7 linked regions of the Cricetulus griseus genome follow. Each later gene encodes a partner of the first gene's protein in a complex. Links are inferred from orthologs where the notes say so. Each region holds a gene or a part of one and is shown in the gene's direction. Other genes may lie near its edges.

Region 1 (3,500 bases):
TAAAGGTGTGTGCCACCAACGCCCGGCCTAGATTTATTAACTTTTTATAGTATTTCGCTTGCATGTATATATGTGTACTGTGTGTATACCTGGTGCCTGTGGAGGTCAGAGGAGGGTGTTAGATATCTTTGGAACTGGAGTTAGGAATTATTGCTGTAAGCCACCATGTGGGAGCTGGGAACTGAAATTATGTCTACAAAAGCGACAAGTGAGCCAGCTCTCCAACCCTGACCCAGTCCTTTCTTGATGACACAGTGGAACAGTAGGTTCTGACAGAAAGCTGAGGCTGCTTTCATGTAGCAAGTCTATTGTGTTCAGCACAGATTGTGTCATTTGAATTTTGGGTATTACCGTCAAGTTCAGGAGCTTTTTGAAACTTAGCTGATGTTTTAGATAAATGAGGTTCCATTGAATTGGAGTCAAGAGTGTAAAGCATAAATACATAAATAAAAACCCAGAGACAGATAACTGGAGTTCAAGCTGGAAGATCAGAGAAGCAAAGTGGCCAGCCGTTTTAAGAGTTCTTACTTCAATGCTCAGACCAAAGGGGCAATCCACTGAACCTCAGATTGCATCTCCAAACTGCACTGCTCCTCACCAAATCTCAGACTGCTCCGGCCTGAGACTGCCCTGAGCTCTTTGTATTCTCTTTTGATATTCTCTGGTATCAAAGGTGTGAGCTCTGTTTCTCTTTTAGACTGATTCACTCACGTAGCCCTGGGTGGCCTTGAATTCACAGAGATCCATCTGCCTCTTGTCTCCTGAGTCCTGAATTAAAGGTGTGGCCACCATTGCCCAGCTTCTCTAGCTAGCTAGTATGGCTGGCTTTGCATCCTGATCTTCAAGAAAGCTTTATTAGATCATAAACAATGTATCACCACAAGAGTGTCTAATAAAGAACTGACTGATACTCAGTAACTCCTCTCCTGACAATTTTTACAGGAAGAACAAAAGACCATGAAGTCAAAAATGAGAGAGAAGGTTCGGCCCAAGATGGGGAAGATTGATATTGATTACCAGAAACTACATGATGCCTTTTTCAAGTGGCAGACCAAACCAAAGCTGACCATCCATGGAGACCTATATTATGAGGTTCGGGAAGGGGACTGGGAGGTACAGGGTTGAGCCTTGATGTTAACTTCGGTTAGAGTCCATTTTAAAGCTGGTACAGTGGTCCCTAGTCTTAAAATGTCCCATTCCTGCCACCGAGTAACATAGTATGTGGATTTTTTTCTTCTTCCTCAAACAAGTCCTTTTTTCCAGAAGAAAGTTATATGTATTTGAAGTGATGTTTGATGGGTGGTTTAGGGACAATGGCATGTGTTGTGCAGAAACATTTTGTGTGTGTGTGTGTGTGTGTGTGTGTGTGTTTGGTTTTTCGAGACAGGGTTTCTCTGTCTTTGGAGGCTGCCCTGGAACTCACTCTGTAGACCAGGCTGGGATCAAAGGCATGCACAACCACTGCCCAGCACATTTTGTGTTTTAAGTGGGAGAAAAAGTTTTATTTTTCCCCCTGATCTTTGAAATGTTAATCACCATACCATCAAAAGAAGATCAGATAGAAGGATGCTGACAGTCATCTTGTCCAGTGGGCTCGTTTCACAAGTGAGAAAGCAGGTGCTGTATTTGGCCTTATTCTCACAGTAGCAGTAGGGAGTCTGGTCTTCTTCCTTTTTCTATTCTACCCAAGTGGAGCCCAGCAGCCCTGATGGGACTTTGTATCTGATGGAGTTAGGGCTTCTTGTCTGTTCTTATGTCCTTATGCCACTGAGATCTTAGTATGTGTCTGGAGTCCTCAACAGAGCAGGCTGTGCTTTTTCCCCAGGGCAAGGAGTTCGAGACAAGGCTGAAGGAGAAGAAGCCTGGAGATCTATCTGATGAACTAAGGATTTCCTTAGGGATGCCAGTAGGACCCGTAAGTTTGGCTAAGAGGCTGGGAAGCTGGAGAGAGGGTGAGAATAGGAGCAGAAGGGAAAGATAGGGTAGGGGAAGGTAGGTCATAGCCTGTTCTGTTTTTCTTACAGAATGCCCACAAAGTCCCTCCCCCATGGCTGATTGCCATGCAGCGATATGGGCCACCCCCATCCTACCCAAATCTGAAAATCCCTGGGCTGAATTCTCCTATTCCTGAGGTAAACAGTGAGCTTGTTTTCCCTCTTGGCTGCCTTGGGCTATGTGTTACACAGGAGTGTGTGTGTTACACAGGAATGTGTGGGCATACGTTCCTATGGTGGCCAGAGCAGAATATAGAGTGACAGATGGCTTTTTGTTTGCTTGCTTGTTTGTTTTTTGAGTGAGTCCCTCCCGATCTTGGAGTGCTAACTTTTTTCTAGGGCCTCAGTCTTTTCTAGAGTTTTGGAGAACTTACTCATGTTCCCTCTTCTGCAGAGCTGTTCCTTTGGATACCATGCTGGTGGGTGGGGCAAACCCCCAGTAGATGAGACTGGGAAGCCACTTTATGGGGACGTGTTTGGAACCAATGCTGCTGAGTTTCAGGTATGGGGAGGCTGCTGAGTTTGATTTTACTTAATGCTAAAAGGGTTAGGAATAGTAGATCTGTAACTTCATTATCAGGGAGCTGGGCTTGGTGTTCAGTCTGAAAAGGGGCATGTATTTTCTTGGGGTGTAGCACAGCTTTCCTTTAAAGGATTTGTGTGTTTATTTTTCCTTCTTTTAGTGAACAGCAGAGTGGGGCAATAGGCACGAAGTGAGTACTTATTGAATGAATGAGGAATCTCTTTTAGACCAAAACTGAAGAAGAAGAGATTGATCGGACCCCTTGGGGAGAATTAGAACCATCTGATGAAGAGTCCTCAGAAGAAGAGGAAGAGGAAGAAAGTGATGAAGACAAGCCAGATGAAACTGGCTTTATCACACCTGCAGACAGGTAGGAAATAGAACCTAGCTCCTCCAAAGCAGTCTGTCTTTGGGGGCTGCTTTTTTACAGTGGAGATTTTGTTTCTCTCCTCATAGTGGCCTCATCACTCCTGGAGGGTTCTCATCAGTGCCAGCTGGAATGGAGACCCCTGAACTCATTGAGCTGAGGAAGAAGAAGATAGAGGAGGCGATGGATGGGTAAGAGAAGTAATCGGGCAGTAGTTTTGGGGGGAGGACTTTCACTTTAGTTGGTCTTCTAGGTTGGTTGACTGACTTTTTAATTCCATTTTCCTTCCTTCCTTCCTTCCTTCCTTCCTTCCTTCCTTCCTTCCTTCCTTCCTTCCTTCCTTTCTTTCGTTCGTTTTCAGAGACAGGGTTTCTCTGTAGCTTTGGAGGCTGTCCTGGAACTAGCTTTTATAGACCAGGCTGGCCTCGAACTCACAGAGATCTGCCTGCCTCTACCTCCCCAGTGCTGGAACTAAAGGCATGTGCTACCACTGCCCGCTTCTTTATTCCTTTTCTTTCTTTCTTTCTTTCTTTCTTTCTTTCTTTCTTTCTTTCTTTTCTTCCCTTTCTTTCTTTCTTTCTTTTAAAGATTTTTATTTATTTATTATGTATACAAC
Region 2 (3,363 bases), on another chromosome or scaffold:
GTTTTGTTTTGTTTTTCGAGACAGGGTTTCTCTGTTTAGCTTTGGAGCCTATCCTGGCATTCACTGTGTAGACCAGGCTGGCCTCGAACTCACGGAGATCTGCCTGCCTCTGCCTCCCAAGTGCTGGGATTAAAAGTGTTCACCACCAACGCCGGCGAGAAACACTTTACTGGGTGAGTCTGCCACTGATTGGCCAGTTCTCACAAGTAGGAAGTTGTAGCTGGTGACATGAGCTGTCCCTGCTTATTTAGACCTTGGTAAGTCAGAATTAATTGGTTAAATCCAGTTGTGTTTCCAACTTGATCAACTGGTTCCTTGTTTCCATGATTACTGAAAAAAAAAATTGATCTTTTTCAAGGAATTGGGCATTCTCAGAAGCTAACACCCAAATAAACACCATAGGAAATTTACAACACAAGAAAATCAGACTTTATAGGGAATCCATATATGTATGCAATGGTTGTAGAATGCCCTTTCTAATTGGTAGTGTTTAATTAAGCACTGGACCTGTTAGAAGTCAGCATTTCTCACATGTGACATGGCTCATTCCTGTGTTGAGATAGGTTATTAAAGTCAGAACAAACTGCATTATTAATGATAAGACATAGTAATTTAAAGGGATTGTGCCTGGTGAAAATGCACTGTAGGTCATCTGTATGTCCCTGATACTCACTGCATCACCATGGCCTTCTAAAGTAGAATAGAAGGAAGTGGTAATGATCCATTTGCTACTGAGTCCCCAAAATGACAGTATCTGTAATATTTTCCTTTCCTACCAAATCTCTTTAAGAATCTTCAAAATCTGAACATACTCATAGGAGTTTTCCATACAAATAAATGTCACTCACCGTCTATGCTGCTGCAGGGAAAAGACTGGAGGTTCCTGACAGTACCAACTGCCCAAATCTTTACTTATACAGATCTAAAGAAATCAATGTCGCATGTGGGCTTGTCTGAAAGTTGCAAGGGGTGTAGGCAGAGTTTTATTCCTGTCTACTATGATGAAGAAAATACGTATTTAAGATGCACTGATACAAACTGGATTTTTTTAATTACATAATGAGTAGAAAATTCTTAACACTTTTGTTTATTCATATAAAAACTGAATTTTTTCCTTTCCTAATTCATTCAATTGCCCTGAAGTCTTTTGATTCCCTGTGTGTTGCTGATACCTTGCAATGGGGATACAGCTAATCCTGGCGTAGTTCCCTGCTGCTGAGGGTAGCTAGCTTATGACCACTTAGGAATCAAGCACATGCTGATACCTTAAGACCAGTAAGCATTTGCTAAAGTAGGAAGGCAGGATAGTGAAACTTGCTGTAATCAACAGTAAGAGGAGAAAATTAGTTCATAGAGTTACGCCAGAAGTTCCAGCCCCTTTTGCATAGAAAAATTCAGCCACTCCCAGAAAAGACAGCCACAGCACCATTTGAACATCACTTTTGGTTGTTTTTAAGCATTTATCTCATAGATGCATACTTTTTGTTCTGTTTGTCCCTGCTTATTTGGTTTTTGTTAATTTGCTAGTAGTGCTGGGGATTGAACCTAGGATGTATGCAAGGCAAAAATGCTCTACCACTACACACCAGCCCTAACACATCCCTTAAAGATGGGGATTTTTTTTTTTTTTTTTTTTTTTGGCTTGGTTTTTGTTGTGTTTCTGGTGTAACCCTTGCCTTTGACCCAAACATCAGACAGGTTTAGTCATTGGCTGGCATCTGGCTCCACAGCTGGCTCCGTGTATTTGAGTACACTCTTCAAAGAAAGAGGATAGAGTTCCAAATACAGTTTTAGGAGACCCCCCCACCCCGCCCCAGGTAGTAAGCATAGCCTCTCACCAGGGAGGAATCTGCAGTGAGCATGAGAGACAGGCATGTTCTCCAAAGTTTTGCTTTGTTTCTGTTGTGCAGTTCTGGGGACGCATGCTGGGAACTCTGCCACCAGTGGAATTCCTCACACAGCCTTGTTTTCTGTAGAACTGCTTTCCAGGTGGGATGGATAGTGTAAACAGCAACATCTCCTGGTGCTCCAGGCTGCCTACTTCCCTGTGTGAGAGTGGGGAAAAAAATCTCTCCATTGGGCCAGGCGGTAGTGGCAACAGTCTTGCGGAGGCAGAGGCAGGTGGATCCCTGTGACTTCAAGGCCAGCCTGGTCTGCAGAGGGAGTTCCACGACAGGCTCCAAAGCTACACAGAGAAACTGGGGGGGGGGGGGGGGGCTCTCCATTGGGTTCTCAGCCTGCGCTCACTGGGCCTCTGTTCTCCTTCAGGATGTCACATGTGCTCCAGTTTGAAGACAAAACCAGGAAAGTGAAAGATGCAAGCATGCAGGACTCAGACACATTTGAGATCTACGATCCTCGGAATCCGGTGAACAAAAGAAGAAGGGAAGAGAGCAAGAAGCTGTTGAGAGAGAAGAAAGAAAGAAGGTGAGAGGAGAGTGGTGATGCAGAACTGCTGGAAGCCTGCCTGCCATGAATGTCTTCGTGATGGCCAGCCATTGTTCACATCAGCAGGGCAGCATGGAGGGCTGTGAAAAGTACATCTGAACCTGTTCTCTGGTTCAGAAACCATATTTTGTTTTTTAAATTTGGAATGATGTAAGCAAATGCTTTTGGTTACTGACAGATTTTCTTTTCCTTAATTGACCTTTTCTATTGCTAAATCAGAAATAAAATCAGTTTCTTTCCAGTTTAAATGTTAACCACTTACAGGTTATATATGCCTGTTTATGCCCCTTTACCCTGAAATGTGTGAGGTTATCTTGTCTAGATGTTTTATAAGTGCTCACAGAAAGAATAAGGGGAACTTCCTCGACACTTTGATATAGAATCAAAATTATAAAATAAAAAACATTAACATTGATGACTCTTTTTGTATATAAACATAAAAATAGCCAGACCAATAGGACTCTTGCTTTAATTCCTAAGGAACCCACAGGCAAATTAATATTGTCTCTGTTCAGGCTATTGAATGCATTCAGGACAGTAGCACTCTGCTGCCATGCTCACCAAATACCACATCCTGGTGCTTGGCCACCTGCCACCCTCTGCCCCCACCAGCAGCGCAGCCCCAGGAGCAGGTGGGGTGCACGGGACCCGTAGCTCCCGCCAATAGAACACATCGGGAATTTAGCTCTTGATGCAGTCATTCACATTGGGTGATTCTGTTCCCTATTTTTAGTTCTAAAATCTGCTTGCTAAAATTGTACAGCAGGCTAACTTCAGTCACCTAATAAAACTTCACAGCCACATCTTCTCAGAAGAAGTAATGAAGTCGGTTTCCTCTTCCTCAAGCACTGCTTCTTCATCTGTGATCCCAGGTGCAGCACTGGCAGTAGACAAGAGGACAGAGAAATCCTAGTC
Region 3 (3,500 bases), on another chromosome or scaffold:
ACAGTACTGAAAGACACACCTAGAGTACTATTAAAGGAAAGAATTGGAGCTGGGTCACCTCCAGGCACAAGAGACCAAAATAGTTCATTACCTATTTCAAGCCAAGATGAATTAATGGAAGCAGAAAAATCTGAGCAACCTTTAAGCCAAGTTATACAGAGTTTATCTCCAGAACATAAAGAAATGCCTGGAAGTAACATTGAATCATCTCCTGAAATAGAAAGGCCTGCTGTATTGTCTGCTCTTGACCAAAGCCAGGCACAGCCCTCTTCTAAACCAGCAGAAATCCCTGCAGTGGCTTCATGTTGGAGTGGGCTGCAAATGTCTCCAGAACATAAAGAACTATCTCATTCTTCCCCTGGGGAGAATAGCTTTGAGTCATCTTTAGAGCTTAGAAACTCGGGCCCTATTTCAGAAGTAAATGCTGGATTTTCTCCTGAAGTTAAAGAAGAATTGAATGGGCCATTTCTTAATCAAACAGAGACAGATCCCTCTTTGGACATGAAAGAACAATCAGCAAGATCCTCCAGGCGCAGCAGTTCTGAGTTATCCCCAGAAGTAGTAGAAAAGGTAGGAATATTTTCAAATCAGAGTGTGTCTTCTCCTACACTTGAGACTGTACACAGAACACCTTCAAGAGAAAGAAGTAGTTCTGCATCTTCTCCTGAACTGAAAGATGGTTTGCCCAGAACTCCGTCTAGGAGAAGCCGATCTGGGTCTTCTCCAGGACTTAGAGATGGGTCTGGGAGTCCTTCTAGGCATAGCCTGTCTGGGTCATCTCCTGGGATCAAAGATGCACCTCATACCCCATCCAGGGGACGAAGTGAATGTGACTCTTCCCCAGAACCAAAAGCATTGCCTCAGACTCCAAGAGCACGAAGCCCTCCATCATCCCCAGAGCACAACAACAAAAGTGTCACCCCTCAAAGAGAAAGAAGCGGGTCAGAATCATCAGTAGAACAGAAAACTGTGGCTAGAACCTCTCCTGGGCAAAGAAGTCGATCTGGGTCTTCCCAAGAGCTTGATGGAAAACCCAGTGCATCCCCTCAAGAAAGAAGTGAATCAGACTCCTCTCCAGATTCTAAACCCAAGACTCGAACCCCTCTTAGACAGAGGAGTCACTCTGGTTCATCCCCAGAGGTTGAGAGCAAATCTCGACCCTCTCCCCGGCTCAGTAGGTCTGGTTCATCCCCTGAAATGAAAGATAAGCCAAGAGGGCTGCAAAGGGCTCAGAGTGGTACTGACTCTTCTCCTGAACACAAAATACCTGCCCCTCGGGCCCTGCCCAGACGAAGTAGGTCAGGTTCATCAAGCAAAGACAGAGGCCCTTCACCTGAAGGAAGTAGTAGTTCTGAGTCTTCTCCAGAACACCCACCCAAATCCAGAACTGCTCGAAGAGGCTCCAGGTCCTCAATGGAGCCAAAGACAAAGTCTCGCACACCACCTAGACGTCGGAGTTCTCGATCATCTCCCGAGCTAACCAGGAAGGCTAGAGTCTCTCGAAGAAGCCGCTCTGCATCCTCATCACCAGAAACCCGCTCCAGAACTCCACCAAGACGTCGAAGAAGTCCTTCAGTGTCTTCACCAGAGCCAACTGAAAAGTCAAGGTCTTCACGGAGGCGGCGCTCAGCTTCATCACCCCGAACCAAGACTACTTCAAGGAGAGGCCGATCTCCTTCACCAAAACCTCGTGGACTCCAAAGGTCCCGATCCCGCTCACGTAGAGACAAAACCAGAACAACCAGACGCCGAGATAGGTCTGGATCATCTCAGTCAACATCAAGAAGACGACAGAGGAGCCGGTCTAGGTCTCGTGTCACTCGTAGGCGGAGGGGTGGCTCTGGTTACCATTCAAGATCACCTACAAGACAGGAGAGTTCCCGAACTTCATCTCGACGCAGAAGAGGCCGATCTCGGACACCTTTGACCAGTCGGAAGCGATCTCGATCACGAACATCACCAGCCCCATGGAAGCGCTCTAGATCTCGAGCCTCACCAGCTACTCATCGGCGATCCAGGTCCAGAACACCACTGATCAGCCGGCGCAGGTCCAGATCTCGGACCTCACCCGTGAGTAGGAGACGGTCAAGGTCAGTGAATAGGCGTAGATCTAGATCAAGAGCATCCCCAGTGAGTCGTAGGAGATCTAGGTCAAGAACACCACCAGTAACTCGTCGTCGATCAAGATCCAGAACACCAACAACGCGCCGTCGCTCTCGTTCTAGGACTCCTCCAGTGACTCGAAGAAGGTCCAGATCTAGGACTCCACCAGTAACCAGGAGGCGATCTCGAAGCAGAACTTCACCAATTACTCGAAGAAGATCCAGATCCAGGACATCCCCAGTCACACGTAGAAGATCTCGATCTCGCACATCTCCAGTCACTCGAAGGCGCTCTCGTTCTCGAACCTCTCCAGTGACACGTCGCCGCTCCAGGTCCAGAACTCCTCCAGCTATTCGTAGACGCTCTAGGTCTCGGACACCACTGTTGCCACGCAAGCGCTCTCGAAGTCGCTCACCACTTGCTATCCGTCGCCGCTCTAGGTCTCGTACTCCTAGAGCAACTCGAGGCAAGCGGTCCCTAACAAGATCCCCTCCAGCCATCCGTAGGCGGTCTGCATCTGGAAGTAGTTCTGATCGGTCACGTTCTGCCACTCCTCCAGCAACAAGGAATCATTCTGGATCTCGTACACCTCCTGTAGCACTCAGTAGCTCTAGAATGAGCTGCTTCAGTCGTCCTAGCATGTCACCAACGCCTCTTGATCGATGTAGATCACCTGGAATGCTTGAACCCCTTGGAAGTGCTAGAACACCCATGTCTGTGCTACAGCAAAGTGGTGGCTCCATGATGGATGGTCCAGGTCCCCGGATTCCTGATCATCCAAGAGCATCTGTTCCAGAAAACCATGCTCAGTCTAGAATTGCACTTGCTCTCACAGCTATCAGTCTTGGCACTGCCCGGCCACCTCCATCTATGTCTGCTGCTGGCCTTGCTGCAAGAATGTCCCAGGTTCCAGCTCCTGTACCTCTCATGAGCCTCAGAACAGCCCCAGCTGCAAACCTTGCCAGCAGGATTCCAGCAGCATCTGCAGCAGCCATGAACCTTGCTAGTGCCAGAACATCTGCTATTCCAGCATCAGTGAACCTTGCTGACTCGAGAACACCAGCTGCAGCAGCAGCCATGAACTTAGCCAGCCCTAGAACAGCAGTAGCTCCTTCAGCTGTGAACCTTGCTGATCCTCGAGCCCCTGCAGCCACAGCTGTGAACCTAGCAGGAGCTAGAACACCAGCTGCACTGGCAGCTTTGAGTCTCACAGGCTCTGGGACACCCCCGGCTGCTGCAAATTATCCCTCCAGTTCCAGAACACCCCAGGCTCCTACTCCTGCAAACCTGGTGGGTCCTCGATCTGCACATGGCACAGCTCCTGTGAATATTGCTGGCTCTAGAACCCCTGCAGCCTTGGCTCCCTCAAATCTCTCCAGTGCCAGGATGGCTCCAGC
Region 4 (3,985 bases), on another chromosome or scaffold:
AGCCTTAAAACGCAAGTCATCTCCTGACTCCTTAGTTTGTTTAGCAACGATTGGCACTTAGAAGGCAGAGGCTGGTGGATCTGTGTGAGTTCCAGGACAGCCAAGATTACATAGACACTGTCTCAAGAAACAAAAAAGAATTTCCTATTGTTGAGTATTTGTCTGTGTTTTGTAACTATCAACAATCCGCCACGAACAGGTTTGGATTAACTTTCCAATTTTCTTTCTTTTATTTTAAAGATTTATTTATTTATTATGTATACAGTGTTCTGTCTGCATGCATCCCTGCAGGCCAGAAGAGGGCACCAGATCTCATCACAGATGGTTGTGAGCCACCATGTGGTTGCTGGAAATTGAACTCAGGACCCCAGGAAGAGCCATCTCTCCAGCCCAGACCCCAAGATTATTTATTTATTTATTTATTTATTTATTTATTTATTTATTATTTATTTAGGTTTTTCGAGACAGGGTTTCTCTGTGTAGCTTTGGAGCCTATCCTGGCACTGGCTCTGTAGACCAGGTTGGCCTCGAACTCACAGAGATCCGCCTGCCTCTGCCTCCCGAGTGCGCCACCAACGCCTGGCAAGATTTGTCTTTTTTAAGAGCCAGGCGAACACCTTTAATTCCAGGGCTTGGGAGGCAGAGGCAGGCGGATCTCGAGTTCGAGACCAGCCTGGTCTACAGAGTAAATTCTAGGACAGCCAACGTTACATATAGAAACCCTGTCTCGAGAAGCAAAAAAAAAAAAAAAAGGATTTTTTTCTTTTGGTGATTTGTGAGGTCTTAGGGACTGCCCCCAGCCCTTTGCACACGCGAGGCAAACGCTCACTTTACTGTTAAGATACATTCTCCAGGCTTTCCGCCCTTTTAACTTAATTTCTATTTGGCGGTGCTGCGGATGGAATCCAGGGCTTCGGGCTCGGCTAGGCAATCTCTACCTGACCGACTCACTAAATTGCCCAGGCTGGCCTCGAATTTACAGCGATTCTTCTGCCTCCGCCTCCCGAGGTCTGGCCTTGACTTTCCAGTCCTCCAGCCTCACTTCCCCAGGAGCCGGGATCCCGGGGTCACAAGCCCGGGCGTCCCCAGCGTAGGAACCTTAGCATCTGCGGCCACGCCCACCTAGGGGACCCCCCGCCGTGAGGGCTTCTGGGATAGCGCGCTGCCCGGAAGCGGAAGTACAAAGGTCGGGCCGTCACTTCCTTCGGCTCGAGTGGCTCAACGGACCGTGCAAGTGGCTCTCGGCCGGGCCGCAGGATGAAGGCCGGGAAGAGCGAGCGGGAGCGAAGCGGCCGGCGGCGACACCGGGCCGACGACGCACTGGCGACCGTGGTGGTGAAGCAGGAGCGTCTGAGCCCCGAACCTATCGCGCACCGGCGGCCCGACGCCCCAGCCGCTAGCCCGTCCCCGCCCGCCGCCGAGCCGGGCCGCGCTAGCCACCGTGGGAGTCGAGCCCGGGGAGTGAGCCGGTGAGAGGGCCGCGGCCGGGATGGCGCGGGGCCCGGGCGGTGCGAGCGACTCGGGGTGTAGAGCACCTGTTGAGTTGAAATGAGATTCCCCCCGCCTCCCACGGGGGACGGTGGGAATGTCTTTCCACTTGCCTGCCGCCAAAGTGTTGTTTCACGTTGGGTCCTGGCGACTTCTTCGCAGCACTCATTCGCCGATGCCCCCCGTACGGCATCGATTTACTGAGTGCACAGTGTGGGCTAACGATCAATTGAGGTACTGGGCCACAGGGTGAAGAAGAGAGATGGTTTGGCCCCGGCGAAATTGGGCGTGCTCCAACCCTAAAGAAGGAAAATAACAAATAGATTCAATTAGTGCTGAGGATATAGTCAAACAGTAACGTGGCCGGGCCGTGGTGGCGCACGCCTTTAACCCCGGCACTAGCGCTGGGTCAGGACAGAGAAAAATGTATGCGAAGAACCTGAAGTGGAATTGGGCTTGTTTTAAAAGTTGAAGCAAAACAGGCAGTGTGTCTGGAATTGAGCGATGAAGGAGCAGCATTGTAGGAATGAGGTGGGGTGGAGGAAAGGGTGGGTCCCTGGGACTTGCCAAGGGATTGGATGTGGTTGTTGGAGAAGGGAGTGTGTTAGGAAAAACAAAAAACAAAACAAAACCAAAAACCAGGCAAGATTGACTCCCTGGATAGTGATGCCAATCAGTAGGATGACAGACTGGGAAAAGAGCTTTGGGGTTCAAGTATTAGGGTATCTAAGTGAGCAGGCAGTTGTGTATGTGAGCCTGGGAGAAGTGGCTAGGGAAGTGAGGACCTGACTCCATTAGTGATTTCACAAATGTGTTATGTTTAGTAGCCTGATACTTGAAGCTAATTTATTTGGGGGCAGGGACATTGAGGTAAAATCCTGTGTACCATGCTCTGATAAGGTCCCCAGCCAAAAAGAAAAACAAGTCCTCAGGGAGAAGAAGCAAGTCTCCTCGGACTAAGAGAAGCCGGAGCCCCCACTACTCCACCGTCAAAGTGAAGCAGGTGAGTGAGTGGGCAGGAGCCTTTGCTAGGACCCACGTTCAAATCCAGAGCTGTTGCTGGACCTAAAGGTGGCCTGCACCGGCGTGTCTCCGTCTTTCCTTGTCCTGGCTGTGGGCTTTTCTAAAGACTAGATATATGTTTGTGTTGTTTTATGTGAAACTTCAAATTTGGAGGAAGTTATTGATTTAATTCTGATAACTCTTTGCCAGAAATAGTGCAGAGAGATGTACCTTTCCTTGTTTCTCCCAATGGCAACTTGTCACACAACCGTGGGCAGTATCACAGTCAGGATACAGACATCTCACTGCCAGTGGGAGGCCTCCAGCTGTTCTCTAGAGCCCTGTTCCTTTCCACCTTTATCTTTATCTTTATTTTTGTCTATCATTCCGCCAATCCCATGCTGTCTCAAGTACCACACTAAGTGATAAGTCTTGAAACCTGAGTGCCCCAATCCCTTTTACTTTAGTATTTTCAAAATTGTCTTAGCTGTTCTAGTTCCTTTGTCTGCATCTCTGTAAATGTTAGAACAGTCTTGAATGTGTGTGATTAAAAATAAAGTTTTTTTTTGGTGCATCTCCCCCCCCCCCATGTGTATGTGTTTTGCCTGCCTGCATGTATGTGTGTGCACTGTGTATATGTCTGATACCCACAGATCCCAGAAGAGGGTAGCAGATTCCCTAGAACTTGAGTTAAGGATCGCTGTCAGATACCACATGGGTGCTGAGTTATCTTCCAGATTTTCTAGTGTCTTGCTCCAAGCCAGTGTGGCGGTGTGTACATGTATCCCTACACTGAGGCAGGGGGATCACAAGTTCAAGGCTGGTTTATAAGTTTAGTGAGAGACACTGTCTCAAAAAGTAAAAAGGGAGGCCGGGCGTTGGTGGCGCACGCCTTTAATCCCAGCACTCGGGAGGCAGAGGCAGGCGGATCTCTGTGAGTTCGAGGCCAGCTTGGTCTCTAGAGCGAGTGCCAGGACAGGCTCCAAAGCTACACAGAGAAACCCTGTCTCGAAAAGGCTGGGGCTAAAGTTTAGAAGTAGAGCGCTTGCCTAGCCTGTTTCCTGAATTCTAGTCCCATTACCATTCCATATGTATTTATAGTAAATGGACTATTATTATTACTCAGCCTTAAAATGAAGAAAATTCTGATGAGTTACAAGATGTCTGAACCATGATGGCTTGCTTACTAAACGGGGGGGGGGGGGGCGGGGGGGGCGGAGCGCAGCAGGCGCGGCGGCGACAGGACACAAAAATTGCATGATCCCACATCTTTGTAGTTGAGACAGTTGACCTCCTGTCAGTTAGGTCCAGATTGGCTTGAAACTTGCTTAGTAGGTATTATAGGCAGGCCTAGAACTCTTTGGTTTTTTTGAGACAGGCTTTCTCTGTGTAGCTCTAACTGTCCTGGATCTTGTTCTGTAGACCAGGCTGGCCTTGAACTCAAAAGAGATTCACCTGCCTCTGCCTCCCAAGTGCTGGGATTAAAGCCAAGAGC
Region 5 (3,500 bases), about 130 Mb from region 1:
CCATCTTGTTATTAAATTGAAATGTGATCATTTAAAGTTTTCCTCAGGTTGAATTGTAGTCTTAACAAACAACTTGTCTGTGGAATCACTGCTGTGAAAAACTGGTAGTTAAAGGAGTTCAGGGCCTAAACCTATCAGTCTATGAGGGGTGTTTGTTTTGAGACTCTGTGTAGCTCAAGTCTAGTTGTGAACACACTATTCTACTGCCTCAGCCTCCTGAGTGCTGGGAGTACAGGGTTAAGCTGCCCTGCCTGACTAATTGTGTAAGATTGAAGTTCAAGACTGTCCTTGGTGCAATTACATATGAGTTGGCTAGCCATATCAAAAGCATATGTGTAGATATATAACTATTAATGGGTCTAATAAATTTTTGAAATAGTACTTAAGGTAATTGGAACACCTGTAAACTTATGTTAAAATTGTTTTTATGAGTGACAAAGTTATAATCAATGTAATTTGACTCTTTTAAGTGGAAGAAAACACTAATTTCAGATGCAGGTTATAACAAAACTTCATTTCACTAAATGTCAAAGTTCCTTTTTGACTTCTGAACAAATTACATAAGTGTTTGGTTTTTCTTGTTTTTTTTTTTTTGTTGTTGTTGTTGTTGGTGGTGTTTTGTTTTCGTTTTTTTTTGTTTTGTTTTGTTTTTCATGACAGGGTTTCTCTGCATTCCTTGCTGTCTTGGAACTCACTGTGTCAACCAGGCTCAGGCTGCTGGCTTCTTCCTGCCTCGGCCTTGTGAGTGCTGGGATTAAGTGTGCCACCGCCACCCAACAGTGTTTTGTGGGGTTTCGTTGTTTGTTTAATGTGGAACACTAGGGCCTTTTCTCTTATCCCAGTCAGTAGCCATTATATAACTTTAAACCAGAGAATAGTTTGTCCTTTCATAGTTGTATTTGAAAGCTTAGTACAATAGACATTTTCCCCTTGTTGTGCAGATAGCTGATCTGGCCAATGAAGATACTCCACAGCTGTATGTCGCCTGTGGTAGAGGACCCCGGTCATCGCTGAGAGTCTTAAGGCATGGACTTGAGGTAAGATGGGAATTTCTTGGTTCTCTTTATGATGTGAAAGGAAGGTCTGCACAGAACATTGTACAGGCTAACTTTGAGGAGGTCAAAGATAAACTACTGTTTTTATGAACAAATATGTACTTTCTCTTGTCCCTGAAGTTTATGGAGTTCAGATTACTTTTCCCTTACTAGTTCATTCCCTATGACATCTTAGCGGAAGTAAATAATATTTTCCATGACCATTTGAAGTTAGAGTTTGTGGTTGGCAAAGGTAGGTATTAAGATGACTGTCATCCTTTTTCTTTCCTTTTTTAAGATTTATTATGTATGCAGTGTTCTATCTACACATTTGCCTGCAGGCCAGAAGAGGGCATCAGATCTCATTATAGATTATTTTGAGCCACCATGTGGGTCCTGGAAATTGAACTCAGGACCTCTGGAAGAGCAGTTAATGTTTTTTTGGGGCGGGGGGCAGGTGGAGGCAGGGTTTCTCTGTGGCTTTGGGGGCTGTCCTGGAACTAGCTCTTGTAGACCAGGCTGGTCTCGAACTCACTGAGATCCACCTGCCTCTGCCTCCTGAGTGCTGGAATTAAAGGTGTGTGCCACCAACACCCGGCTTCAGTTAATGCTCTTAAACTATGAGCCATCTCTCCAGCTCCCCTGTTGTCTGTTTCTCATCAAATTTTGTTGAAATATTGCCAAGATGACCTTCGTTTTAAATATGGCTTTAGTAAATAGCAACTTTAAACTTTTGTTCTGTAAAATTCACTTAATGATGGCATTTGCCCTAATACATTGTTGTTTGGGTGAAACAGCTTAAGATATGACCTTAAAACTATAAAAGTGGAGGTGCATGTCCGTAACTTGAGCCACAGTAGTCAAAAGTAGAAAGATTTTTGAATTCAAGGCTAGTTTCATTATTTCACTAAGTTTTGAGTGGCCTTGATCAAATTTAGAACCAGTAGGCCTACCTGCTTGACTTTCCTTTTTCTTCTCTTCCTGTTATCCCCACCACCACACCCCACCACCACCACCACCCCTTTTGTTTTGTTTTGAGACAGGGTTTCTCTGTGTAGCCCTCCTGTCCTGGAACTTGTTCTGTGGACCTGGCTGGCATCAAACTCACAGAAATCCACCTGCCTTGCCTCCTGAACACTGGGATTAAAGGTGTGCGCCACTACCTGGCTTTCTTTTTGTTGTGTTTAAAGAAAAGGTCTCATTGTACCTAGGGCTGGCCCAGACAGAGCAGTCCCACTGTCCAAATCTGCATACCAGGAGCTGAAGTTCTCAATTACTTACTGCTCATTGGCTCCTAGTGTAGTGTAAGATAAAGGATTCCAGAGTTGCTTTTTAGTGCCTTGCCCTCTGTCCTTACAACTTTATAAGCAGAGCTTTTGTTGTATTTTGGAAATAGTTAAAAATAGTTATTGCTTTGTTCCTTCTTGTATACCTGTCTTACTTTTGACTATAGTCTTAATATGAAAAAAACCAAAAAAACCAAATTTTCTATTAGTTGAGTAGGATACTTGACACATAAGTTTTACTAATGAAGTTCTTATGTCTTAATGTTCTTGGAAACTGAAAAGGGTAGTGCCTTGTTCTTTCTATAAGTACAGTGTATGAAGCACTCTGTCTCTGAGTCATTTAATAATATTTAATAAACTTAGAATGGGTTTTTCAAAAAAATTCCAAAGGTAATAAATAATCTTTGAAGAGATATTATTTTTATCTTGTGAAAGTTAGAGAAAGCAATAAAATACTGATTTAGGTTGTTTCATTTGTTTCCAATGGTGCTTGTCTTTTGTTGTTGTTCTTGAGACAGAGTTTCTCTGTAGCTTTGGAGCCTGTCCTGGACCTTGCTCAGTAGACCAGGCTGGCCTTGAACTCACACAAATCCACCTCCCAAGTTCTGGGATTAAAGGTGTGTACCACCACTGCCTGATTTTTTTTTTCTTTTTTTTTTTTTAAGGATATAGGCATGGCATATTCAAAGGAAGCATATAGTTTGGTTGTAAACCTGTACCCTTCTGTATGTTCCATGCCTTTTTGCTGTCAAGGGATTGCCTGTGCCGTCAGTCTTTGGATTTTACATTCTTTTTTCACTAAGTGTTCCAGTTCTTTTAGTGCACTGTACAGGGTGAGGCCTTTGCCTTGGGATAGTGTCACCTAGCATAATATTAAGTAGTAGAGTTTCATGCTCACTGGATCTGTGGCTTGCCTGCTCTCCTTTTAGGTGTCAGAAATGGCTGTTTCTGAGCTCCCTGGTAACCCCAATGCTGTCTGGACAGTGCGTCGGCACATTGAAGGTAAGTGTCCCTTTCCTGGTAGTCAAGATGGGTCTTGGGAACCATTGCCATGGGAAATTTAGAAACTGCATTCATAATATGTCTGTATCGCTTCATTTAGTACCCCAGAAACTTCTGGCAAGACACACCTTTTTTTGAGGCTTCTTCTGATCAGGGTACCTTCATTTACTGCTGCTCT
Region 6 (4,244 bases), on another chromosome or scaffold:
AGGCAGGCAGAGTTTCAGGCCAGCCAGGGCTATACAGAGAACCCCTGTCACAAAACAAACCCAATCTGGATAACCTCGTGCACTGTATTTGGCTGGCCTCTTCTAGAAAAGTCAGAATTCGGGAGTATGAGAATGAGTTTGCTCCTATATTCCTCTAAACTTATCACCTATAAAGAGGCTAATAAAACTGAAGGCTTGGCCGTGTTGGTATATAGTCCAGCTACTTGGGATGCTGAGGCAGAAGGATAACAAACTCAAGATCATCCTGGGCAACTTAGCAAGGTCATGTCTCCAAAATTCAGAAAGGGGTGGGGGAAGTAGTTCTGCTACAGAACTCTTCCTTATCATGTGCAAGGCCCTGGGTTCAATCCCCAGTGCTTGATGGAAGAAGAAACAGAATTGTGGGGGTCAAGTGAAGATTCACCAAACACTTAACCCCCTATAAGAAATAGAATCTTCCTGGCTTTCTTTTCTTTGCCACATTGACAACAATTCCTTGTCATTTTTATTGGGAAGATTGTATACCATTTTCTTGAGAGATAATACCAAACGTGGAAAGGTCAATACAGGTTTGATGAGACCAATCCACTTTTCAGTCACAATATTGGGGGTGGGATTTGTTTGACTTCCCCTAAATGGCACTGTTCCAGTATACTGTCTACCAAAAGGTATTTATACCAATAAAAATAACCGAAATAGTTCTACTGGTGGTTTATTGTGGGCAAAAGAGCTGGGGGTCATCAGTAGGTACACCAGCTGGGTCAATCCAGCTGTCTTCCCACACCTGATCGTGGTACTTCCTGGTTCTTCGTTTATAAGGTCACCTCCACCAAGTACATACAATTATTTATAAAGAGCTCCTCATCTCCTTGGTGCCCTAACTCTTAATGGGCTTGGGAGTCCTCTTCCTCCTGCTCTGGGTTGGCATCTACCTATGAGTCCTCAAGGGTATCCACCAGGCAGCTTCACCAAGTCCCTGCTTTTGTAAATTCTTTCTTCTTTCTTCTTCTTCTTCTTCTTCTTCTTCTTCTTCTTCTTCTTCTTCTTCTTCTTCTTCTTCTTCTTCTTCTTCTTCTTCTTCTTCTTCAATAATGATAATAATAACTGAAATAAACTAATTGTGCTAGGCATTTGGCACAACATCCGTTATTAAAATGCTATTCAATAACTTGCCCCCAGTGGCACAGTTACGATCGGTCTCGTATTCAAATAGGTGCTCTGATCTCCTGAGTTTCGGTTCTTCCCTACTCCGGTGCAGTCGTCAGGGCAGGACTAGTTAAGTCGGCCTGTGACCTCTTTGCTGGAACAGTCCCGGCTGAGAGCGTTGCACGGATGTGTCGTCACAGGAAAGCAGAACGGCCCTACGATGCATTCATGCACCTCCCCTTCCCCACACCGAGCCTGTAAAGACATTTTTTAAGAGTCATGACACCTATCAGCCCCAGTAGCTCCATAAGGGCCACTCCTAGGGCTTCCGTTTCTGGCTCCACCCCCATCCGTTTCCCGTAGAAGAATTTTTGTCCCCAACGCCGAGCCGTTGCCCCGCCCTCGCCGCTGCCATGGCGGCAGCTCTGCCGCTCTCCAAGGCTGAGTATCTGAAGCGTTACTTGTCTGGAGCAGATGCTGGCCCGGAAGGAGGTCCAGAGTCGGTTCGGAAGCGGCGCAGAAAACGGCCGAAGCCAGGAGGCGCCGGTGGCAAGGGGTGAGTGGACTGATGGGGCATCGCGCTGCCCCTTTGCGCCCTCGGCCGCAGCTCTTCCTCCTCCCCGCCCGCGCGGCGCTGCGAGCGCTGCCGACCCAGGCCCGGCCCCGCTGCTCCCGAGCCGGCTCTTCGCCGCCGCCTGCAGCTCAGACCTCGTCCTCTGAGCAGTGTCTTCCATGCGTTAAGGCCAGCTAGAACTTAGAACTTCCTTACTGTTTTCCCGCCTTTGTAGCCTTGTATCGTCCCTCGAACAGATTGAAAAGTCGTGCCCTGAGAGTAGTAGAACTAATTAAAAGCCCCAGTGATTGCGGTTTTTTTTTTTTAATGTTAGAATTCAAAAATCTGTTTCTGGGGCCTTCAAAGTATTAGGAACTGATCTGGAACCAAAGATCTAAGTCCTGTTATTCTTGCCTACTACTAACAGTAACAACTAATATGGGTACAGTTCCTATCATGTGCCTGGCCTCTTTCTAAAAACTTTGACCATATAACTTTCAGGACATTGTGGTGAAGTAGACATTGTTTTAAATAATATACTTTCCAGGTTCGAAAGAGGGATGTGCTGAGACAGATTTCGGATGCAGTGACTTGGCCACTGGAATCTGGAAAGGTTGGGATAGGAGATCCAACATCAGCCCACAGGACAAAAGAAATTATAGACTTTAGAGCAGCGACCCTAAGTTTAGCAGCTTGCTAAGAAGGTACTATTTTGGATACAAGGTCGAAACTCTGGAAGCTAATCCCGTTCTTATACACCATGCCTTGGGTCTGCTGCTTGCTAAGAGCTTAGCAGCTTAGAGAATATAAAGTGTGGTTCACACCCCTCTATGGGGGAACCATCGTGAGCTGACAGTATTATTCTCATATTTCTACTGAGAAAATTCTGTGGCCCATTGAAGTGGGTAGACTAATTCCCTAATTCCCTCTTTGCCCAAATTTACCTTCATTTGGGACTTCAGCATGACATCAATCTTTGTGGTGTTACTAGTTGAGCCTATATTCAGTTAAGGTATGTGGTAAATTCAGTGTGGTTCTTTTTTTTTTTTTTTTTTTTTAATTTTTCGAGACAGGGTTTCTCTGTGGCTTTTGGAGGCTGTCCTGGAACTAGCTCTTGTAGACCAGACTGGCCTCGAACTCACAGAGATCTGCCTGCCTCTGCCTCTGGAGTGCTGGGATTAAAGGTGTGTACCACCAACGCCCAGCTCAGTGTGGTTCTAAGAAGGAGCAATGCCATTCAGGGAACATGGTTTAAGCTTTGGAACAGCACTAACTGGAATCTGAATCCTAGCAGTGCTACTTTATAGCCTGGGTCATCTTGGGCAAGAGAGTTCACCTCTCTGAGACTCGGAGTCCTAGTGGTCCTGAACACTGCTGTTTGTCTGAAATGGCTGTTGTGATTAAAGATGTAGCATGTGTTCCTGGTTTTTCAAATACCTCTTTGCAGCACAGATCACATCCATTGGATGCCATCATCTTTCAGCAGTTGGTACACTGGTTACTCAAGTCCACAGGTACTTAAGTTCCTCCACACAATGATACAGTATTTGTGGGTAAACTATTCATATCCTCTTTAAATTGTCTCTAGGCTACTTACAAAACCCATTGCAACTTAGGTGGTGTACTGGCTGGATTTGTGTGTCAACTTGACATAAGCTAGAGTCATCAGAGGAAGGAGCCTCAACTGAGGAAATGCCTCCATGAGATCCAGCAGTTAGGCATTTTCTCATTTAGTGATCAATGTGGGAGGGCCCAGCCCATTGTGGGTGGTACCATCTCTGGGCTGGTGGTCCTGGTTCTATAAAAAGCAGGCTGAGCAAGCCATGGGGAACAAGCCAGTAAGTCGCACCCATCATGGTCTCTGCATTAGCTCCTGCCTCCAGGATCCTGCCTGTTTGAGTTCCTTCACTGATGAACAGCAATGTGGAAGTGTAAGCCACTTGGGAGGCAGAGGCAGGTGGATCTCTGAGTCCAAGGCCATCCTGGTCTATGGAGCAAGTTCCGGGATAGCCAGGGCTGTTATATAGAGAAAACCTGTCTTCAAAAACCAAAACCAAAAAACAAAAAGGTGGACAGTGATGGAGTGAACTGACAGTAGGAGTCCATATACACAAAGACTGAGCCATACTTTTGAACTTTAAAAGCCAAAAGGTGAGATGGCCCAATGCTTGCCAACGAGCCTGACAGGCTGAGTTCAATCCTCTGAACCCACATGGTGGAGGGAAACAACTGACTCCTGCAAGTTGTCCTCTGACTTCTATATGTATTCTATGACACACACACACACACACACCCCGTCACACATACACACACGATAAATAAATGCCAAAAAACAATAGGTAAGTGTACATAGGCCTGTGTCCCAGAATGAGTTCTTTTTTGAGGCTTTTATTGTTCTCATCTAGAATGCGGATTGTTGATGATGATGTGGGCTGGGCAGCTATTTCTACCACTAAGCCGGAAAAGGAAGAGGAAGAAGATGGAGATTTGCCTGTGGTATGTTATCTTTTGGAGTCTTGTCAGGACTTTGAAATGATCCAAGCAT
Region 7 (4,294 bases), on another chromosome or scaffold:
GAATAGCCCCCAAACACAGGAAAATGGTTTATTTATAGACTCCAACACTGCAAGGCTAGGGTGTTTCCAATGGTTTTTTGGTTACATAGGAATTTGGCTGGCTGAACATCTTATCAGGGTGGTGAAAACAAACAAACAAAAAAAGGAAAGGAACATAACTGCTCCTAGGTATGGTGGCGGTGAAGGTTTATTATAGATAAAAGGAAGAGTATAGCCAGAGGCAGGGACATCTGGAAGAGTCCAGAGTGGACATGACCCTGAACTATACAAGAAGAAGGGGCAAGGGGAGAGGGGAACCAGGTGTGGCAGCCAAGAGACTCAGAGAGAGCCGATGAAAAGGCCAGGTAACCAAAATGTTTGGATTATATAGGGAAGGGCAGCTGGGGGAAGGGCAGCCCAGCCTTTGGGCTGGAGAAGTTTAGGATAGGGGGCAGGCATGCTAGCTGGGGGGCCCCTATAGCAGGCCGGGACTGAGGAATGCAGGGAGAACCTGGTGGCCAGCATTCACTCTGATACATTAAATAGGCACCTCAGCAGTGTGTCCCGAGTTTGAGACCTAACAGTTGGAGGTCAGGCTAACAGGGTGTGGAGCATTAGCATCAAAGTGGAGATTTGCAACAGAGGACAGGGAGACTGAGAATTCTTTGATCAGACATGTAGACAAGAACTTGACATGTAGTTGTCTTTGGAGTCACGATATAAGTGGTGTTTAAAACCACAAGCTTAGGGGGCTGGAGAGATGCTTCAGCAGTTAAAAGCACTTGCTGCTCTCCCAAAGGGCCCAGGTTCAATCCCCATCACCCATAGGGGATCTGACACCCTTACACAAAGCACCATTGCACATAAAAAAATAAAGCCACAAGCTTAGGCTTGCGGCACAAGCCTGGCAAGGAGAACCAACTCCTGCATTTTGTCCTATGAATTCCACACATGTGCCATGGCACATAGTTGACCACACACATACTATAAAAGGAAACTCAGGTGTTTGTACTTAGCATGCACTTAAGGGTTAATCTCTAGTCCTCTGCATCCTCAGGCAAAAAACAAGCCAGACCAAGGACCTGGCTCCAAGGAACGATCTAGCAGAGTAGATATATGGAACCGGGGAGGGCACTGCACCTGAGGGCTTCATCACCTGCCACCTGATGGGCCTGGAGGACGTGGGGGCTGGAGAGCAAAGAAAAGGAGGTGAGTAGGCAGTGGGATGGCCATGCCTTTGCAGGCACTGGTCCAGGAGCTAGGGCAAGAGGCTTTAGATACAAGGGAGGGCAGGTCTGAGCGGATCTGGCTGGTACAGCTTGGGCTGGGCAAGTAACCAGGTAGTGTACAGAGAAGTCTTTGAGAATTCGCAACGCAGTTTGCCTGGAGACAAGAAAAGTGGATTCTACTCAGAGCCAGCAAGCTTCTGCTTCTTACGGTGGCCGCGCCCAGCGTTCACTATGGGCACCTGGAAACCACAATTCCCAGAATGCCTCTTTCCAACTTCCGGGACCGGGTGAGCCGAACTCCGGAAGTAGCTGAGAAAGCGGAGGCGCCAGAGTCTGATCGTCTGCTGGGGCCGACTTGGGTTCGTCGCAGCCATGGGGAAGCGACAACACCAGAAGGACAAGATGTAAGTTGGGTAGCACCTCTCTTCTCACCTCATCACCACCCTGCAGGTCATCTCTTCCCGAAAGCCTCAGTTCTTGCAGCCCAATATCGTCTTAGCGCGGCCTCCGCGGCTAGGGCGTTTTGCTGGCCGGACTGATTCACTCCCGGGACTTACCCCTACCGCCCCTCTTTCTGCCCCTGCGTTGGTTGTCTGCCCTTTGGTCCTGGCTGTCACTTGCCAGCCTACTTGCAGGCGACAGTTTAAGACTAGCGGACTGTGTTCCGTGTTCCTCTCATTTGCCACTGTCTGTCAGGATGCTGTTTTCTGTTGTTTCTTGAAACAAGTGTAATCAGATGCTTTACCCCCAAACTGCTGGCAAGGATGCCTTTGACTTCTGTATTGCCAAATCTAGTGCGCAGCTCTCAGTCTTTGGGCTTCTTCCCTTTCCGAAGCCGACCCTTAGTGGGATCCTACAAGCGGCTTTGCTTTTTATCTGTCGCAATGACCTCTCTTTTATCATTCCTCCTTGCTGGGCTTCCTTCCCCTGTCCCAGACTTCGTGGGTGTCCCTTCATTTCTGTTCTCTGTGGGTGATCTGTTCTAGTAGTCTAATCTCGCCTGCACTAAGTCAGCTGTTTACTCAGTAGCTTTCTCAGAATTAGAATGCCTGAAAGGGAACTCTTTCTTGATAATTTTCACACCTTAAGCCTGCTCTATTTCCATCTTATTCCAGTGGTTACATAGTAAATCCCTGATTTGCTAGACATAGACTGAAGACAGTTTTCAGCCTTAAACACTGGCACACAGCAACCAGAGCTATGTTAGGTCATGTCTGGGTACTGCTCAAAACCATTCAACGGCTTCCCATCACACCTAAGGCAATGGAGAGTACTTTCTGGATCTTTAAGACTCCTTTATGGTCTGGCGTCTTTAATCCCAGTAGGGATTAGAGACAGAGAGGCAGAGACAGGCGGGTCTCTGTGAGTTCAAGACCAGCCTGGTCTACAGATCGAGTTCCAGGCCAGGCTCCAAAGCAGTACAGAGAAACCCTGTCTCGAAAAACAAAAAAAAAAAAAAAAGAAAAGAAGAAGAAGACGAAGAAGAAAAAAGAAAGGTTTTGGCTGGAGAGATGGCTCAGCAGTTAAGAGCAGTGACTGTTCTTCCAGAGGTCCCAGAGTTCAATTAATTCCCAGTAACCACATGGTGGCTCACAAACATCTGTAATGAGATCTGGTGCCCTCTTCTGGCCTGTAGGCACACATGCAGACAGAACACTGTATACATAATAAATAATTTTTTTTTAAAGACTCCTTTATGATCAGCTACTGTCCTTGCTTCTGTCTCCATCTGCTGCCCCATACCTCCCCAGATGTTCTTCTAGTGTCTCCCTTCCAGAACACATTCAGCTTTCCCTGCTCCAACCTCAGTAAGTACTGCCCTGTAAAGGGCTTCCCCAGATCTTTGTAAGCCTAGCTCTTTCTCATTGCCAGGTCATCCAGTTCATCTCCTTCAGGGCAAGGTCGCTGATGTTTGCATATATTTCTGTCTGTTGTGCTTATCATTATGTCTAATGCTGCAGCTGTTTGATGTGCACTTGTCAAGTGAGTGGCAGTTCTGTCATATTACATCTACAGCTTCTGTCCCTTCTGTGAGGGCAACTAGTAATATCCTCTGTCTTCCTTAGGTACATCACCTGCGCGGAGTACACTCACTTCTATGGTGGCAGGAAGCCAGGTAAGGGGTGTTGGTGGTACTGAGGAATGTATATAGTGGTCCAGAACACTGATATTACAGTGTATATTAGTGGGCTGAGTACAGAGTCCACAAAAGAGGATGCGTACTCAACATAGTAGAGTATAGTAGTGGAGAGATTTTAAAAGTATTTTTATGTAAAACGGCTTTTTCTTCATAGGAGGAAAACATGAATGGTAATACCCAAGTTTTCCAAGGCTGTAGAAAAAAGGATGTAGTTTTTTTTTTTCATTTATTTATTTTATTTGCATTGATGTTTTGTCTGCATGTATGCTTCTGTGAGGGTGCCAGATCCCCTGGGACTGGAGTTAGCTGTGAGCTGCTCTTGTAGACCAGGCTGGTCTCGAACTCAAAGAGATCCGCCTGCCTCTGCCTCCCGAGTGCTGGGACTAAAGGTGTGCCACCATTGCCCGGCTACTCTTAATCTGGGGCCTGGAGGTGTAGCTCGGTGATACAACTAGCACATAGCATATATAAGGTCTTGGGCTTCATCTCCAGCAATACATAATACAACTCTTCTCTTTTGGAACAACAGCAACAAAAAATTTAATCTGTGGTAATGTAGTTTTTGTGGTAGATACAGTAGATGAAATGCTTTCTAAATAAGTTTTCTGGTTTTTATTTAAACAGATATCACACAGACAAGTTTTCGCCGCTTACCTTTTGACCACTGTAGGTAAGATCTTTAAAAGGGTTCTGTTTTCTTTTTCTTAATTTAAATCAGAAACAATCTTATTTTATATATCAATCCCAGTTCTCTCTCCCTCCCATTCTCCCATGCCCCCCCAACCGACCCCCATCCCATCCCTCTTCTGCTCCATAGAAAGGGTGAGGCCTTCTATGGGGGAATCACCAAAATCTGTCACATCATTTGGGGCAGGGCCCAGGCCCTCCCCAGGTTCTATTTTCTTTTGATTATCATTCTCCAAGTGTGTGTATGTTTTAAGATAGG

The links.
Region 2: Sf3b2 (region 1) and Cwc27 share a complex: the UniProt entries of both Homo sapiens proteins name them as parts of the minor spliceosome. The link is inferred for Cricetulus griseus from reciprocal best matches to the Homo sapiens genes SF3B2 and CWC27.
Region 3: Sf3b2 (region 1) and Srrm2 share a complex: the UniProt entries of both Homo sapiens proteins name them as parts of the minor spliceosome. The link is inferred for Cricetulus griseus from reciprocal best matches to the Homo sapiens genes SF3B2 and SRRM2.
Region 4: Sf3b2 (region 1) and Snip1 share a complex: the UniProt entries of both Homo sapiens proteins name them as parts of the minor spliceosome. The link is inferred for Cricetulus griseus from reciprocal best matches to the Homo sapiens genes SF3B2 and SNIP1.
Region 5: Sf3b2 (region 1) and Sf3b3 share a complex: the UniProt entries of both Homo sapiens proteins name them as parts of the SF3B subcomplex of the 17S U2 SnRNP complex. The link is inferred for Cricetulus griseus from reciprocal best matches to the Homo sapiens genes SF3B2 and SF3B3.
Region 6: Sf3b2 (region 1) and Bud13 share a complex: the UniProt entries of both Homo sapiens proteins name them as parts of the minor spliceosome. The link is inferred for Cricetulus griseus from reciprocal best matches to the Homo sapiens genes SF3B2 and BUD13.
Region 7: Sf3b2 (region 1) and Ppil2 share a complex: the UniProt entries of both Homo sapiens proteins name them as parts of the minor spliceosome. The link is inferred for Cricetulus griseus from reciprocal best matches to the Homo sapiens genes SF3B2 and PPIL2.

What each region holds. Positions count from the first base shown.
Region 1 is NC_048596.1:54,031,087-54,034,586, forward strand, and holds part of Sf3b2 (splicing factor 3B subunit 2), read left to right. Parts: intron 1-942; coding exon 943-1,092; intron 1,093-1,825; coding exon 1,826-1,915; intron 1,916-2,024; coding exon 2,025-2,132; intron 2,133-2,388; coding exon 2,389-2,496; intron 2,497-2,744; coding exon 2,745-2,887; intron 2,888-2,973; coding exon 2,974-3,075; intron 3,076-3,500. UniProt on the Homo sapiens protein: Component of the 17S U2 SnRNP complex of the spliceosome, a large ribonucleoprotein complex that removes introns from transcribed pre-mRNAs.
Region 2 is NC_048595.1:322,922,088-322,925,450, reverse strand, and holds the end of Cwc27 (spliceosome-associated protein CWC27 homolog), read left to right. Parts: intron 1-2,268; coding exon 2,269-2,431; 3' UTR 2,432-2,863; downstream 2,864-3,363. UniProt on the Homo sapiens protein: As part of the spliceosome, plays a role in pre-mRNA splicing. Probable inactive PPIase with no peptidyl-prolyl cis-trans isomerase activity. As a component of the minor spliceosome, involved in the splicing of U12-type introns in pre-mRNAs.
Region 3 is NC_048600.1:43,333,547-43,337,046, forward strand, and holds part of Srrm2 (serine/arginine repetitive matrix protein 2), read left to right. Parts: coding exon 1-3,500. UniProt on the Homo sapiens protein: Required for pre-mRNA splicing as component of the spliceosome. As a component of the minor spliceosome, involved in the splicing of U12-type introns in pre-mRNAs.
Region 4 is NC_048595.1:27,987,065-27,991,049, reverse strand, and holds the start of Snip1 (smad nuclear-interacting protein 1), read left to right. Parts: upstream 1-1,185; 5' UTR 1,186-1,257; coding exon 1,258-1,469; intron 1,470-2,388; coding exon 2,389-2,491; intron 2,492-3,985. UniProt on the Homo sapiens protein: Required for pre-mRNA splicing as component of the spliceosome. As a component of the minor spliceosome, involved in the splicing of U12-type introns in pre-mRNAs. Down-regulates NF-kappa-B signaling by competing with RELA for CREBBP/EP300 binding.
Region 5 is NC_048596.1:187,226,287-187,229,786, reverse strand, and holds part of Sf3b3 (splicing factor 3B subunit 3), read left to right. Parts: intron 1-941; coding exon 942-1,037; intron 1,038-3,249; coding exon 3,250-3,322; intron 3,323-3,500. UniProt on the Homo sapiens protein: Component of the 17S U2 SnRNP complex of the spliceosome, a large ribonucleoprotein complex that removes introns from transcribed pre-mRNAs.
Region 6 is NC_048597.1:158,021,024-158,025,267, forward strand, and holds the start of Bud13 (BUD13 homolog), read left to right. Parts: upstream 1-1,444; 5' UTR 1,445-1,559; coding exon 1,560-1,702; intron 1,703-4,104; coding exon 4,105-4,195; intron 4,196-4,244. UniProt on the Homo sapiens protein: Involved in pre-mRNA splicing as component of the activated spliceosome. As a component of the minor spliceosome, involved in the splicing of U12-type introns in pre-mRNAs.
Region 7 is NC_048597.1:72,219,843-72,224,136, forward strand, and holds the start of Ppil2 (RING-type E3 ubiquitin-protein ligase PPIL2), read left to right. Parts: upstream 1-1,494; 5' UTR 1,495-1,580; coding exon 1,581-1,612; intron 1,613-3,274; coding exon 3,275-3,324; intron 3,325-3,972; coding exon 3,973-4,018; intron 4,019-4,294. UniProt on the Homo sapiens protein: Has a ubiquitin-protein ligase activity acting as an E3 ubiquitin protein ligase or as an ubiquitin-ubiquitin ligase promoting elongation of ubiquitin chains on substrates.